Drosophila melanogaster: one gene and its partner. The protein of the gene in region 1 interacts with the protein of each later gene in a pairwise test. Each region holds a gene or a part of one and is shown on either strand. Other genes may lie near its edges.

Region 1 (7,510 bases):
TTCTGGAATAGATTCGGGGGCAGTGAGTCCACCACCTGCATGTCGTGCACGATTGTGACAATAATTGTCTTCGGTGTAATGGCTCCCAGTTCAATAAGGAGGCCGATGTCCAGATCAGCGAAACCATTTCCGCGTCCAATGCGGTAACCCTCGCGTGACACTACAACAGAGCCAATAACCACGATGTCCAGCTTCAGACCGCTGTCCAATCCAATTTCCGAGCGAAACTTTTGAATATCTTGAACGCGCAGAGCCTCCTTTTTCTGCTCCTCGGTGGCATCGGCCAGCACATCTACCTTTAGGCACAGTGCAGAAGATTCGCGGGTGCTGGGCAAGTATACGGACTTGTCGGCCAGCAATGCCAGTTCCTTAAACTCATGCAAGACGCGATCGATGTTCACCTTGATGTGCTCTGCAATACGGGAAAGAGTGATAATTGGTGCACTGAAAACGGGGCTGTGGTACTCCCTTACGTGCTTTCTTGAACTCCTCTTCATTGGCAAACAAGGCAGCAGCCTTATCGGCACCCACGAACGAAGGAATTCGGTTAAATATGTTGTTGAATCCAATGCCAACCTTGCCCTCTTGGATCTTTTTCCAGGTCTGCACGCGCAGCGAGCGCTTTGTGGGCTCTATGGGCTGAGCTGTAACGACATGTTTGTTACAATAATATGCTCCAATAACATAAACAGATGACTAAAAGAAACATATTTTAGTTTATTGCAGCGGTGAGCTCATTTGTATTTGTGTTAGTGATAGCTAGCCTTCATTAAATCAAGCCACATTCCATTCCAGAGCTGATCTGTAGGTATGATAACGTGCGGACCCAAGCGATTCCCCAACTTCTCGGACATGTTAGTTTTTGTTAGGGGAGGTTGACTGTAAAAGTGCGAATCAAATGTGCTGAATAGCAACACAGCCGCTGCCCTTATCGTCTGTAATGAACGCGTGTTATCACGCTAGTTGGCGCTGGACTAAAAGTGATACCGCGGCTGATATACCGGTTTCCACGCCCAGTAATCAGATGTGAAAGTGACCCAAACATACACCAGCAAACGCCGGCCCGTATCATTGAAAACAAAAATCTGCATGCAAAATCGGGACGGCAGGGTTGCCACCTGTGCTGGTTAAAGAACACACGTCAACATGCATGTGTGTGCGCTTGTTGAATTGAAACTGAAGTATGAATTGGCCGCTAAAACTATTTCGGCCGTCTTTCTTGGCGGGTTCAATGAGAAATACAAATTAAGAACCCATATCCCGATATTAACGCATGACCAATAAGTTGGCAACGCTTCGACACGCACACACTCGCACGCACACATTTCTGGGCGATGAGCGCATCGACTCGCGAATTTCTCAATTAATATGTATTCGTATGAGCAGTGCCGCGAGCGTGTAGTGGTGTCGGGCAGCGCGGGGCGCAAGCGAGCGGGTGAATTGACACTGCGAGCACAGAATCTCGAAATCGAAATCGGCCAAGAGCACCGAAAATGATTCATTTCACTTTTTGTAATTGTGGGAAGAATGCGCGCAAAGATGACGTAATTAGTGTCAACAACAAGCAACTTCGGCGTTTCGGCAACTCTTATTTACAGCTAGGGTCTCCTAGAAATAAATATGGCGGAATTCGACAATCTTCCGCTTCTACACTGGCACCTAGAAAATGGCTGAATCGGGCACCTGCCCCTCTGGAACATGGGTATTCACTTTGGATGCCCAGCGAGCAAGGCGCGGCGCGGCGCAAAACATTTATGGAATCACCAGCACTCGCGAGAATTACACGCAATTTTCGTCGGCGAGCGGGCGGGGTAGTAGGGCAGGCCACTTACTTGTCGAAGACACCTCCTGCGCGGTGTTTCCGCCGTTCTCCGCGGCGACAGCGGGGGCTGCGTTGCTTTGGTCCTCCATCGAATCGCTCGCCAATTGTGTTTTAGTTCTGCTCACAATTTTTTACCGGCTCAGGCTACGGCTACACAGTTCACAGTTCACAAGCAACGTCTACCGTTCTCCGCTGGCTTCCAACAAACCACGTTTGAAAATTGACGTTTCTCTGGTGACGTAAAAAAACATCGCCGATGCGATACATCGATACATTTCGTATAGAGTTGCTTGCGATGGTTCTAGCTAAAAATATAATAAAAGTTATACATCTGAGCTTATACACGCCACCGACAATATACATTAGATCTACATGCAAGTCCATCATCTTTTTTCGCTTCAATTGTTATATATTATTTTAATAAACATCGAGTACCACCCAGATAGTTCGGTAAAATTGTAAGCTGTGATCACTGCGAATAAGGTATTAAAAACTAAAAATAGATAAATTTTATATTATTTTCTTTATTTATGTTTCTTGTAGATAAAGGAATCGAAGGATAAACTATAATTAACACAGGCTCCTGCCCCGGCTTAGGATTTTCTAAATGTAACTCTTCTGCAAGGTCCCTAAGGAATGTTTTATATAAAAATATAAAAGAATCTTTAGTGATGCGACTAAGACTATGTAATAAACAAAAAAAACAAGATGGAATGCTATAGTCGAAATCCCCGACTATCAGATACCCGTTACTCAGCTAGTGTGAATGCGAACGCGAAATTTCATTAAAAAAAACAAGAGGGAACGCTATAGTCAAGTTCCCCGACTATCAGATACCCGTTACTCAGCCAGTGGGAATGCGTTTTTAGGGCGTTAGAATGGGTGTGGTAAAAAGTTTCTTGGCAAATCGATAGAAAATTTCAAGACTAATTAAATTATGAAACAATATCAACACATTTTTTAAAAGTGTGGGCGTCACAGTTTTGTGCGGTTTGTGGGCATTAGAATGGGCATGGCAGCATGGGTCAACAAACGTGAGCCGCGTCTCTAAAATCTGTATGCTTAATCCCAACCTCTAGATTTTATAGTTCCTGAGATCACGACGTTTATACGGACAGACGGATAGACTCGGCTATTGATCCGGATTATATATAATATATATCCCTTATATAGTCGGAAACGCTGCTATCTGCCTGTTACATACTTTTCTAGTACGAATCTAGTATACTTTTTTACTCTACGAGTAAGGAATAAGAATAATACACACGACTTTAGAAATTCAATCCTAATACTGTTTATTTTATAACCTACTATTAAACTTTTAAGTATGTACAGTCAATAACAGTAATATTAGTGATAGGTGCCAACCAAGATATCATCGTATGGCCTGTGACATGTGCAATGGGGTCACCATTAGGGTAAGCTCCGCGTCCTTTAAATTTGCCCCACGCAAATTTGCCTCCTGCAAGTCGCTGCCAGAAAGATTGCATTTTTCCAAGTCGGCACCTGCTAACACCGCAGCTCGCAAATTACAGTTCTTCATATTGGCGTTCTTCAAATTTGCCACACGTAAGTTAACACCGGCCATGTTGCTGCTTTCCAAACATGCTCCTTTGAGGTTAACACCCTCTAGATTAGTTCGAACTCCTGTTGGGTCTTCAAAATTACACCCACGCAAGTTTGCACCTTCCTGAAAGATTAGGCAGATTAGTTTTCTTAGCTAATTGGATGGCGTAAATCTGTTACAACTAGTTTCACAAATGATGTGATTATTTAATAGCGTTTTCTGTTAAACCTGTGCTTACCATATTGGCGCAAAGTCCCCGCACTGACACTAGTTGGGCACATTCCAAGTTTGCGTACTGAAGATCCGCCCGTTCAAGACAGCAGTAGTTAAGATTGGTGTGGGACAAATTGCAGTGAGACATGTTGGCATACTGTGAAGGAAAAGGGATAGTCTTTAGTATAATTATTGTCTTCAACTTGATAGATCTCCACCAATAATTTTCCATTTTTTTCCGGACGAAAATATCTCCTTTACTGCGTAGCAAACTACAATAATATTAAAATGCAGTCGTGTTACGGCGTTGGAAAGACTTAAAATGTTGTATTACACAATGTATGCATTGAAATGAAATTCGTTTGCGCACACCTTGAAGTTAATGTTGCGAAAATCTAGCTTTCGTAGATCGGCCCCAGACAGATTAACGCCTTGAAAGCGCAGCTCCGTTATCACGGAGGTCTGAATGATGGCCTTGATGACGTCGTTGCGCGTCAATGGTCTGTCCCCCAGCGGCGTCTCCTGCTGTCCCAGGCGTTCCTCCAAATGGGTGACAAGCGAAAAGATTCCGAAGAACCGCGCCTCCTCCAAAACACCCAACACACTGATGTTCGAATCGCATACGAATTGTCCGTGGCGGAGGTAGTTGATGATCGGCTCGAAATATCGAGGACTTCGATCAATCAGGTATGCTCCCTGCTCGTCACGCTCGCTGGGCTTCATGCTGCCATTTTGCAGGAACATCCTAGCAAGCATTGAATCCGGTTCTCTGCCCACCAGAGTGTCGATGGTAGTGGCGTAGATTTGTCCACCCACGTTCAGTTTGACCCAACGATTGGGAGCGAATCCGCTAGCGGCGACGAAATCGCCGGCTGCCGGTGCGGCGTCGTCTTTTCTGGCTCCGGAACCACTCTCCTTCAGATCACTATTCATTTGATTGGGAAGTTTAAAAAATTTCCACAATGCCTGGCAATTCTCAGCTGCTTTATCTTCCCGTTCTTCCCCCGTCATTCCATTAAAGTCGTCGATTAGGGCTGTTCACACGAGGCCGCAACAGCAGCAGCGTTACATTTAATAGTTGTGTGAATTATGAGATATTGGTGAATTTAGCTAATAATTTAAATTAATAATTTAACGAAGAGAAGAAATAGCTCAAATAAACAATTATCAGAAAACTGGATATGTCTTATCTTATTACTGTCCATTAGCTACAAAACATATTATTATTTGAAATTTAATATTCATATAACGATGATTTAATATTCATATAAGATGGTATAAAATAACAAGCGAATTGAATTATGAAGAACCAATTTTCAGATGTGAAAATAAAAATATTTGTGGACATTGGACATTGCAAGCAGAAAACTATTAAAACCATAAAAGGTGTTTTACGAATGCATTTTAAATTACCAATTGATTGGTTAGAAGTGTAAACCCTCAATTTTTGTTTTGACATTGGGCGCCTGTGCAAAGAGTGTTATAGTTGGCAATCGACACCGATAGTTTGTCATCGGGAAGCTGGTATATGTAAATACAAAATAAATTATAAAAATTGGCTTCCACATAATTGAGAAGGTCGCTGAAAGCGTACGAATAAACCCCGCAAATAACCAAATGTCTGCCGCCGAGACAGGTCCAATAGCCAGCGGCAGTGCGGTGTCCACTGGACAGCGCGGTGTCAGCCGAGTACTTGCCAAGTTGTCCCAGTCTCTGGCAGGAGGAGAATTCTATGAAGCGCACATGATGTATAGGACGCTGTATTTTCGGTAGACTATTTGTATAATCCGTGCAAGGAAATGCAATCCAATAAGAAATTCGATTCCTTAGGTATACGGCGCAGAAACGCTATCAGGACTGCCTGGAACTGCTCTTTGATGGAGCACAGCAGCTTATTGCCAAGGAACAGGAAAGCAGCGCCGCGGACCTATGTCTCCTTCTGGTGGACACGTTAGAGAAGCGAGGACCACAGGCGGAAGATACCGACAACTTCCTGTGGGTTCCACGCCTAGGGGCTTTGATCCGCGGCCTTAACTCCGCGACTGTAGAGCGCGAAACCCTTATTGTGAGTCTTTGACATTATTAAACGCGACTTATACCGGCAATGAAATTTTTTTTCCTTTAGCAACGGACCATTAAGTGGAGCACGGCCTTGCATGGCCAGTATGGCCACCCAGTGCTCCATAAGTTAATTGCGCACGTGTTTTGGACCGAGGGCAACATTGAGTCGGCTCGTCACCACTATCTACTCTGCCAGGATGGCAGCCTATGTGGGCGAGTGCTAATTGAAATCAGCCAGAGCAGGGGCTTCCAGGGCGAGATGGACTTGTTTCTGGTACAAGCTGTGCTGCAGCAGCTATCCCTTAAGGATCGGAAAACTGCAGAGGACACGTTCACTGAGTACACACGCTACCACGCCAAGCTGCTTAAGCATGAGTTCCCCTATAAGGAACCGCTGGTCAACTTCTTGTACTTCCTATTCCGTCTTATTGACGCGAAGCGTGTGGCTGGGTTTCGGGCCTTACGCAAGCTTTACGATCCATCCCTAAAGCGCGACACGTCTTTTCTAAAGTACGTAGCCAAGATTGGGGTGCTGTATTTCGACGAGCATCCGGAGGCTGCTCATTCTGGCCCGCCCGGGTTGGGCGGAATGTTTGGTGACATATTCAATCGCCTTATGGCGGGCTTTGAGGAAGATGATGCGGACGATCATGACACGACCCTGAGGCGGCAAAACGAGAATAACGAACTGGAATAGCATGTATGCATTAATGAAGCATACCGAAGAGGGATCCTTTGTTGCTGGTCTTTTTGGTTGCTCAAAGTCAATGAAGTTCTTTGCCACAAAATCATCGGGCTATTTTGTTATAACTTTAAATTGCTGTATGCTAAATAATTTTAAATAAGCGTATGGTCTTGATTATGCAAATTATAAAAAAATAGTTATTCAAACAAAAATCACTATGACAAGTTCTCAAAAATCTTGTTTTGGGAATATCTTTTGAACTGGTAATTGGATTTTTGTGCTTTTGTAGTGCTTGCCTCCTACGCACAATATCCGGGTGCGCTTCGTCACAACGTGAAAATACATCGCGATACATCCCATAGTCGACATTTCGAGGATGCAATTAAAATGGGAAAAAATTGTAAAGAAAAATTAATTAATTGAAATATTTGAAAAGTTTTATAATTTTATAACATTTGTATTTCCAAAAATAAATAACCAGCATCGAAAGTCGACATTGAATATGCGGGATCAACCCGGCTTGTAACATAAAAGCAGAATCCCTTATTTAGGTGTAGTATAATTTGTTCTCATTTCCCTCCGTTTTTGTGTTATTCTGTATTGGCGGAAGAATTCAGAAAAGTTGTTTTTCCAAATTTAAATTATGTATATTTTAAGTCAGTAGTGGACTAGGTAGTAGAATTCGAATACGTGTGAATATTTCGTAAGTAGGTCAATCGTTTTTAAAAATTATACAATGTATCTAACTTGTCCTTCTGGAATCGACGGCTTAAAAATAATACGACGAAATCCCAAAAAAATATTTATGTTGCGATATAAGTGTGACCAGCACAAGGGTAAGTTAGCGTCGACCTGGAAAATACAATCTGAGATCTGGTCCGTCCGAAAAATCATTGAAAGTGCCCTGGTAGAATAAATCAGATTGGGTTTATTTAGTTAGTTTTATTTTCGTTGAACCACCCAAAATAAGAGTAAAGTTGAGAAACGCTCAGAATTAAAGCCACAACCTTTAACCGAAAAGGCCAATCACCGCACAACAAAGCCGAGTGAGAGCAAAGTAAGCAGGACCTTAAGGTTGGGCCTCTGTGCATCGATAAACATAGGACATTGTGTTATACTTTCAGCGAAATGGCCGACAAAGCTGCAGCGCCCTCTGTGGACT
Region 2 (5,084 bases), on another chromosome or scaffold:
TTTGGCCCAAAGCCGTGTGCAGAGACTTAATGCTCGTTAGCAGGGAATCCTTAGTGGCCTTCACTGCCTTGCGCTCCTCCAACGCGGTGTCGTATTGAGCTCTCAGCACGTCTTGATCCTTGGACAAGATAGCGTTGTGCGAAATAAGCTCCCGCTGCTGCTGACGGAAGTCATCCATGCGGACTATACGGTCCATGTAGTAAGCAGTGAACTCAACGCTGAATGCCGGCGCAATGTGCCACTTCTTCCGAATGTCCGTCAAGGCGTTAATGTGCGCCTCGCGCTGCTCCAGATGCTGCACATCCACTGACATAATCTCCGCCTTGGCCAACAGTCGACGACAGGCGGAGGCCGAGGTGGTGAGCAGGCGTGACATTTTCTGCGTTGGCACCCACGGCGTGGGCTTAAGCTCCTTGTGCCTGGTATACTTGTGTTGGATCTTGAGCAGCTTACGCTGAATGCGTGCTTGGGCTGGATTTGGGTGAGGGGCAGGTGTCTCATGTTCGGCAGCTAACGCCTCTTTTTCCCTCGCCCGTTGCATCATATTGAGCCGCAGTGTGTGGTAGTTGCGCCGTCGCTTCTTGATCATCTCCTTCTCCGAGTGCACCTTGCAGTGAGCGTAGAACGGATCGGCGGCATCGTCCTCGTGGTGCGCTTCGATAAGAAAGCCGGCCACCTGGGCGCAGGTCACGTGAAAATAAGTCTTGCACATGCCTGCATCACAACCAATGCAAACGCCCGTGCGAGCGAATAGAGCGTTCTCGCAAAGGGAACACACCTTGGCGCCCCACTTGCTGTACTGCATCTCGAAAAGCGTCACCGAGGACAGCTGCTCCACTTCGCCAAAGGCCACGCCGGGCACATACAGAGCGCAGATGAGGTGCACCCACTTGCCCACGTCGGTCTCCTTGTAGATGCCGCCCTTGTTGGGACACAGCTCGCAGTCCGGTTCCGAGACCCCAGCACGACAGGCCTCGCAGAACCACGGTTCCGTCGAGCAGGTGGAGTTGGTACTGGATATGCTCACGTTGTCGCTGACGCCATAGCATCCTTCGTGGACAGATACGCCGCAGGAGTCGCACTCCACGATCTCGTTGACGTCGTCGCTGCGTTCGCCCAGGCAGACGCAGCACATCCGCTTGGCCGGAGCACTAGACAGCTGAAGTGGCGCACGAGGCACTACTGGTGCTGCCGGGGAGGAAGCTGCGCAGTGGTCCACTCCATTGATCCCGTTCTCCAGTGGTGACGGTTCCGTTTCCGCCAACAGCTGCCGGAGCTGCAGTGTTGAATCCTCGCTCTCCGCATCCGAATCCGATTCAGAATCGGAGCCACCACTGGCGTCGCTGCTGCTACCGTCGCCATCGCTCTCGTCCTTCGATCCGTCCGAGCAGTTGTCGATGTCCGGCAGGAAGTCGCTATCCGAGGAACTCTCGCCCAAGTCAAAATCGAGCAGGGCCTGCGTAGTAATCTTCGGCTGCCGCGCTCGCTTCATGATTCAACGCTTATTTAGTCCGCAATTGTCTGCACAATCTCCGAAAGTCTCGGGCCAAGGCAGAAACTATCGACAGTCGATAGGCCGACATGGCGATGACACGGACAGAATAGTATTCCGTCTGTATATCGATAAAATACATCTGTTGTAAGGATATTAGGGATATTTTGTAAAAATGTATCCTTTATTTTGAATCCTTTGTTAAGAAATGTAGATTCAGGAGCATAAAAGTTTATAGCAGGCTCAAAAACAATAATACGCTACAAGTCAGGCTTTTATATTTTTTGCTTATATCTAAGCTGTAATTATAGTAAGCTATAAATATAGTAGATAAGTATCCTAAAAGACTTCCAGCTGCTCAATGGGCAGCCACTTAGAGCTCTCCAGAGCATCGTACAGACGGCGGTCGGCATCAATGGCCTCTCGGTTCAGTTTGTCCACATCCAGGACGAACTTGTGCTCCACCAGTCCGTTCTCATCCTCAGCTCCATTGGCGGCGGAAGCGGTCTGCTGCTGCTGCTGCTGCTCGTACTGGGCGCTGCGTTGTGCGCTCCAGGCCTCGGCGTGCTGGGCCAGAGTCTGCGGATTAGAGTGCGACTGCGACATGGCCTGCTGGTAGTATGCAGCCGCATCTGTGATCGAAGCACCGGCCTGCTCGTAGTAACCTTGCCAGGCCTGGTATCCCTGCCAATAGGTGCTGGTGGGGTCGTAGTACTGCGAGTAGTCGGTGCCACCTGCTGCAGTCATACCGCTTCCATATCCATAGTTTGTGTTGCCTTCGCCCACAGCACCACCCAACTCGGATTTGGGTTTGGGCACGGCATTGCAAATCTTTATGGGCTTGGTACCCAATCCGATGTACCCGTTCATGTCGTACAGCGCTGATTTCTGCTCATCCTCGATGCCAAATCGCACAAAGCCGTAACCCTTGGAAAACCCCAGGCTGTCCAAGATCACCTTGGCGGTTTTGATCGATGTGAACTTGCTGGAGAACACCTTGTACAGCTGATAGTCGTCCACGTCCGAGCTGAGGTCGCCCACCCAGACGCTAAATTCGCGTTCATTCCCGGGCAGCTTGTACGAGTTGCTGGCCGAGTTAAGACGGAATCGCACAATGGGATTGGTGCCCGGAATGGGCTTACCGTTTAGCTTGTGCATCGCGTCCAGCGCATGGTCATCGGATATGAAGTTGACGAAGCAGTAGCCGGCCGGTTCGCCCGTGTACTTGTTGCGCATCAGGCGCACCGTGGTGGGATCTTCGCCCATCTTCCGGAAAGCGGCGATTATGAAGTTCTCCGTCATGTAGGACTCCAGCTGAAATGGCCATGCGGGCTTAAAGGGTCATGTGTCTGGGGTAATGCACGTTGCTACTTACGCTTCCCATCCACAGTTGACAATGCACGGACGCCATAATTGTTCAAATACGTGTTCAATTGAATATTTTCCAGAGACAAATGATGTTTACCAAAACAAATGAGTGACTGGCCGTCAAGCATTTATCGGTATTTATCGATGTGGGCCAATCAAATGCTGACCTGGTGTCAGCCAAGACAATTGCCTTGGTTCTTGTCTTTGGAATGGATATTCAAACGATGCAACTAATGGTTCGCGTCTCTGGTGAGTTAGACGTTATTTTAGTTTGAGCCAAAAAGTAATTTGTTTTTAAAAAACAATAATACCAATATGTAATCCAAGACAGTTTGACAACCCTGCGTAGTACCGACATTTAAATAGACTTACTTCCTGAACATTTCAAAATCGCAAAAGTGGTGCCAAAATGGGTATTACTCTGTTCCGATTGGCCAGTTTTACTCCAAAACTGAAGGAGCTGCGAATCATTCTGGATCCCAAAGGAGACACTTCCAAGGGAGTCAGGTGAAATTGTCATTTTCCGCTTTTAAATTATATAATTTGCTAAAGCAGCGTTCCTTTACAGGGAATACGTGGAAAGGTTCTATCCAAACCTGAAGAAGAGCAATCCCGACCTGCCGATCCTCGTGCGCGAGTGCTCTGGCGTCCAGCCCCGCCTCTACGCCCGCTATGGTGAGTAGATTAGCATAATGTGCGCTGCTAGCTTCCCCCACATCGATTCCCATGTCCGCAGGCAACGGCAAGGAAGTGTCCCTCTCCCTGGCCAACCACGCTGCTCCTGACATACACAAAAACCTGGAAGCGGTTGGCAAATAGAACTTACGCTGGAAAACTATGTAGATTAGGCGCAAAATAAAGGCAAAGCCAGATGCTTTATGCACACATACGTATACGTGTATATGGGATAACATTTACACTTAAATTCATTTTCTTGGTAGGTACATCGATTTCCAATTACAGCAATAGCATCTTTTAGCTACAAAAAGTACGTCAGCCATTAAGTTCAATCCGTGAAGGCGGGCAGCCCGAACTGCTCCGGCTTGAAGTCCGCCAACGAGGCCAGCACTTGTGTGGCGTGCGAGGTCTTTTCCTGGGACAGTCGTGGGTCCGGCACCATCACCACCTGCATTCCGGCGCTGTTGGCAGCCGTCACGCCGTTCGGCGAGTCCTCGAACACCAGGCAGTCGGACGGTTTGGGCGGCACACCGAATCTGCCGGCGGCCACTAGGAAAATGTCGGGCGCAGGCTTGCCGTTGACCACCTCCTTGTCCGACGAACCGCACACCTTGTGGTTAAACAGGGAGAACAGCTCCCGATGTTGGGCCGTCTTCAGCTCGACCATGTCGGCGCCGGAGCTGGTGGCCAAGCAAAAGGGTACCTTGTTGGCGTGCAGGTGACGCAGCAGGCGCTCAGCACCTTGAACGGGGAAGGAAGCACACGATTAACAAACGGCTTTAATCACAGTAGGATAGTAATTGAAGCAGAAGTATTTATAGGGAGAAATGCCGATTAGTTTTCTGGTCGTGGTGCTAACCTTCCAGCAGGGGTACGTTGTGGAATCGCTCGTGGCACATTTGCGAGTACCGCTTGAGATAGTCTCCGGTTGTGATGGGCAGCTGGCACTCGGTGATGGCTATCTCTGCCGAGCGCTGGTCCGTGGTGCCCATTACCCGGAAACGCACTTCCTCCGGATACGGGCGGCCAAAGGAGGCGGCTATTTGCCGGGTGACCTCCTCGTATATCCTCTCCGTGTCTGAAACGTGACGGCAAAGCGAGAACTGGGATTAGTACCTGGCATCAACTGGGCGTTCCGCATCAGGATCTCGGTGTTGGCGCGCTGCTGGCGTGCGTACTCCTCCCACGACATCGGCAGCTCGTAGTGCTCGACCATGAACCGGGCCAGCGGTTCCGTCTGCAGGCCCATGACCTGCTCCTTGATCTCAAAGGGATATGTCTTGCCGTAGGGCTCGAGGATCATTTCGGTGGCCACAGTATAAAGGCGTTCGGTGTCTGTTCGGCAAATAGTTAACACAGAAAGCAGATACAAGCACGGCAGCACTCACCCAGCAGCAGACCGTCCATGTCGAAGACGCAGTGCGTCACCTTTCGCAGCACTTTGTTGGCCATCTCGCAGCAGTTCTCCTCACTCTGGGCTTCCGATTATGTAATGTTACAAAGTCAACAAGTTCGTTTCCTAACTGCAACACAGAGGTCATAATCA

What was found.
Region 2: the proteins of CG9853 (region 1) and Secp43 interact in a two-hybrid assay, tested with the Drosophila melanogaster proteins (one large-scale study listed by BioGRID).

The regions. Positions count from the first base shown.
Region 1 is NT_033777.3:4,397,603-4,405,112, reverse strand, and holds CG9853 (uncharacterized protein), read left to right. Parts: upstream 1-3,085; 5' UTR 3,086-3,197; coding exon of another isoform or gene 3,198-3,512; intron 3,513-3,627; coding exon of another isoform or gene 3,628-3,759; intron 3,760-3,974; coding exon of another isoform or gene 3,975-4,535; exon of another isoform or gene 4,536-4,603; intron 4,604-4,922; 5' UTR 4,923-5,219; coding exon 5,220-5,371; intron 5,372-5,432; coding exon 5,433-5,667; intron 5,668-5,727; coding exon 5,728-6,360; 3' UTR 6,361-6,555; downstream 6,556-7,510. Other genes in the region: lost, read right to left, coding at 1-412, 474-644, 1,833-1,911; CG14647 (uncharacterized protein), read right to left, coding at 3,198-3,512, 3,628-3,759, 3,975-4,535; CG9855 (uncharacterized protein), read left to right, coding at 7,477-7,510.
Region 2 is NT_033779.5:4,451,460-4,456,543, forward strand, and holds Secp43 (tRNA selenocysteine associated protein), read right to left. Parts: upstream 2,995-5,084; 5' UTR 2,904-2,994; coding exon 2,868-2,903; intron 2,807-2,867; coding exon 1,832-2,806; 3' UTR 1,710-1,831; downstream 1-1,709. Other genes in the region: CG15439 (uncharacterized protein), read right to left, coding at 1-1,492; ND-B8 (NADH dehydrogenase (ubiquinone) B8 subunit), read left to right, coding at 3,270-3,367, 3,429-3,535, 3,597-3,679; Gs1l (GS1-like), read right to left, coding at 3,867-4,279, 4,655-4,873, 4,927-4,990.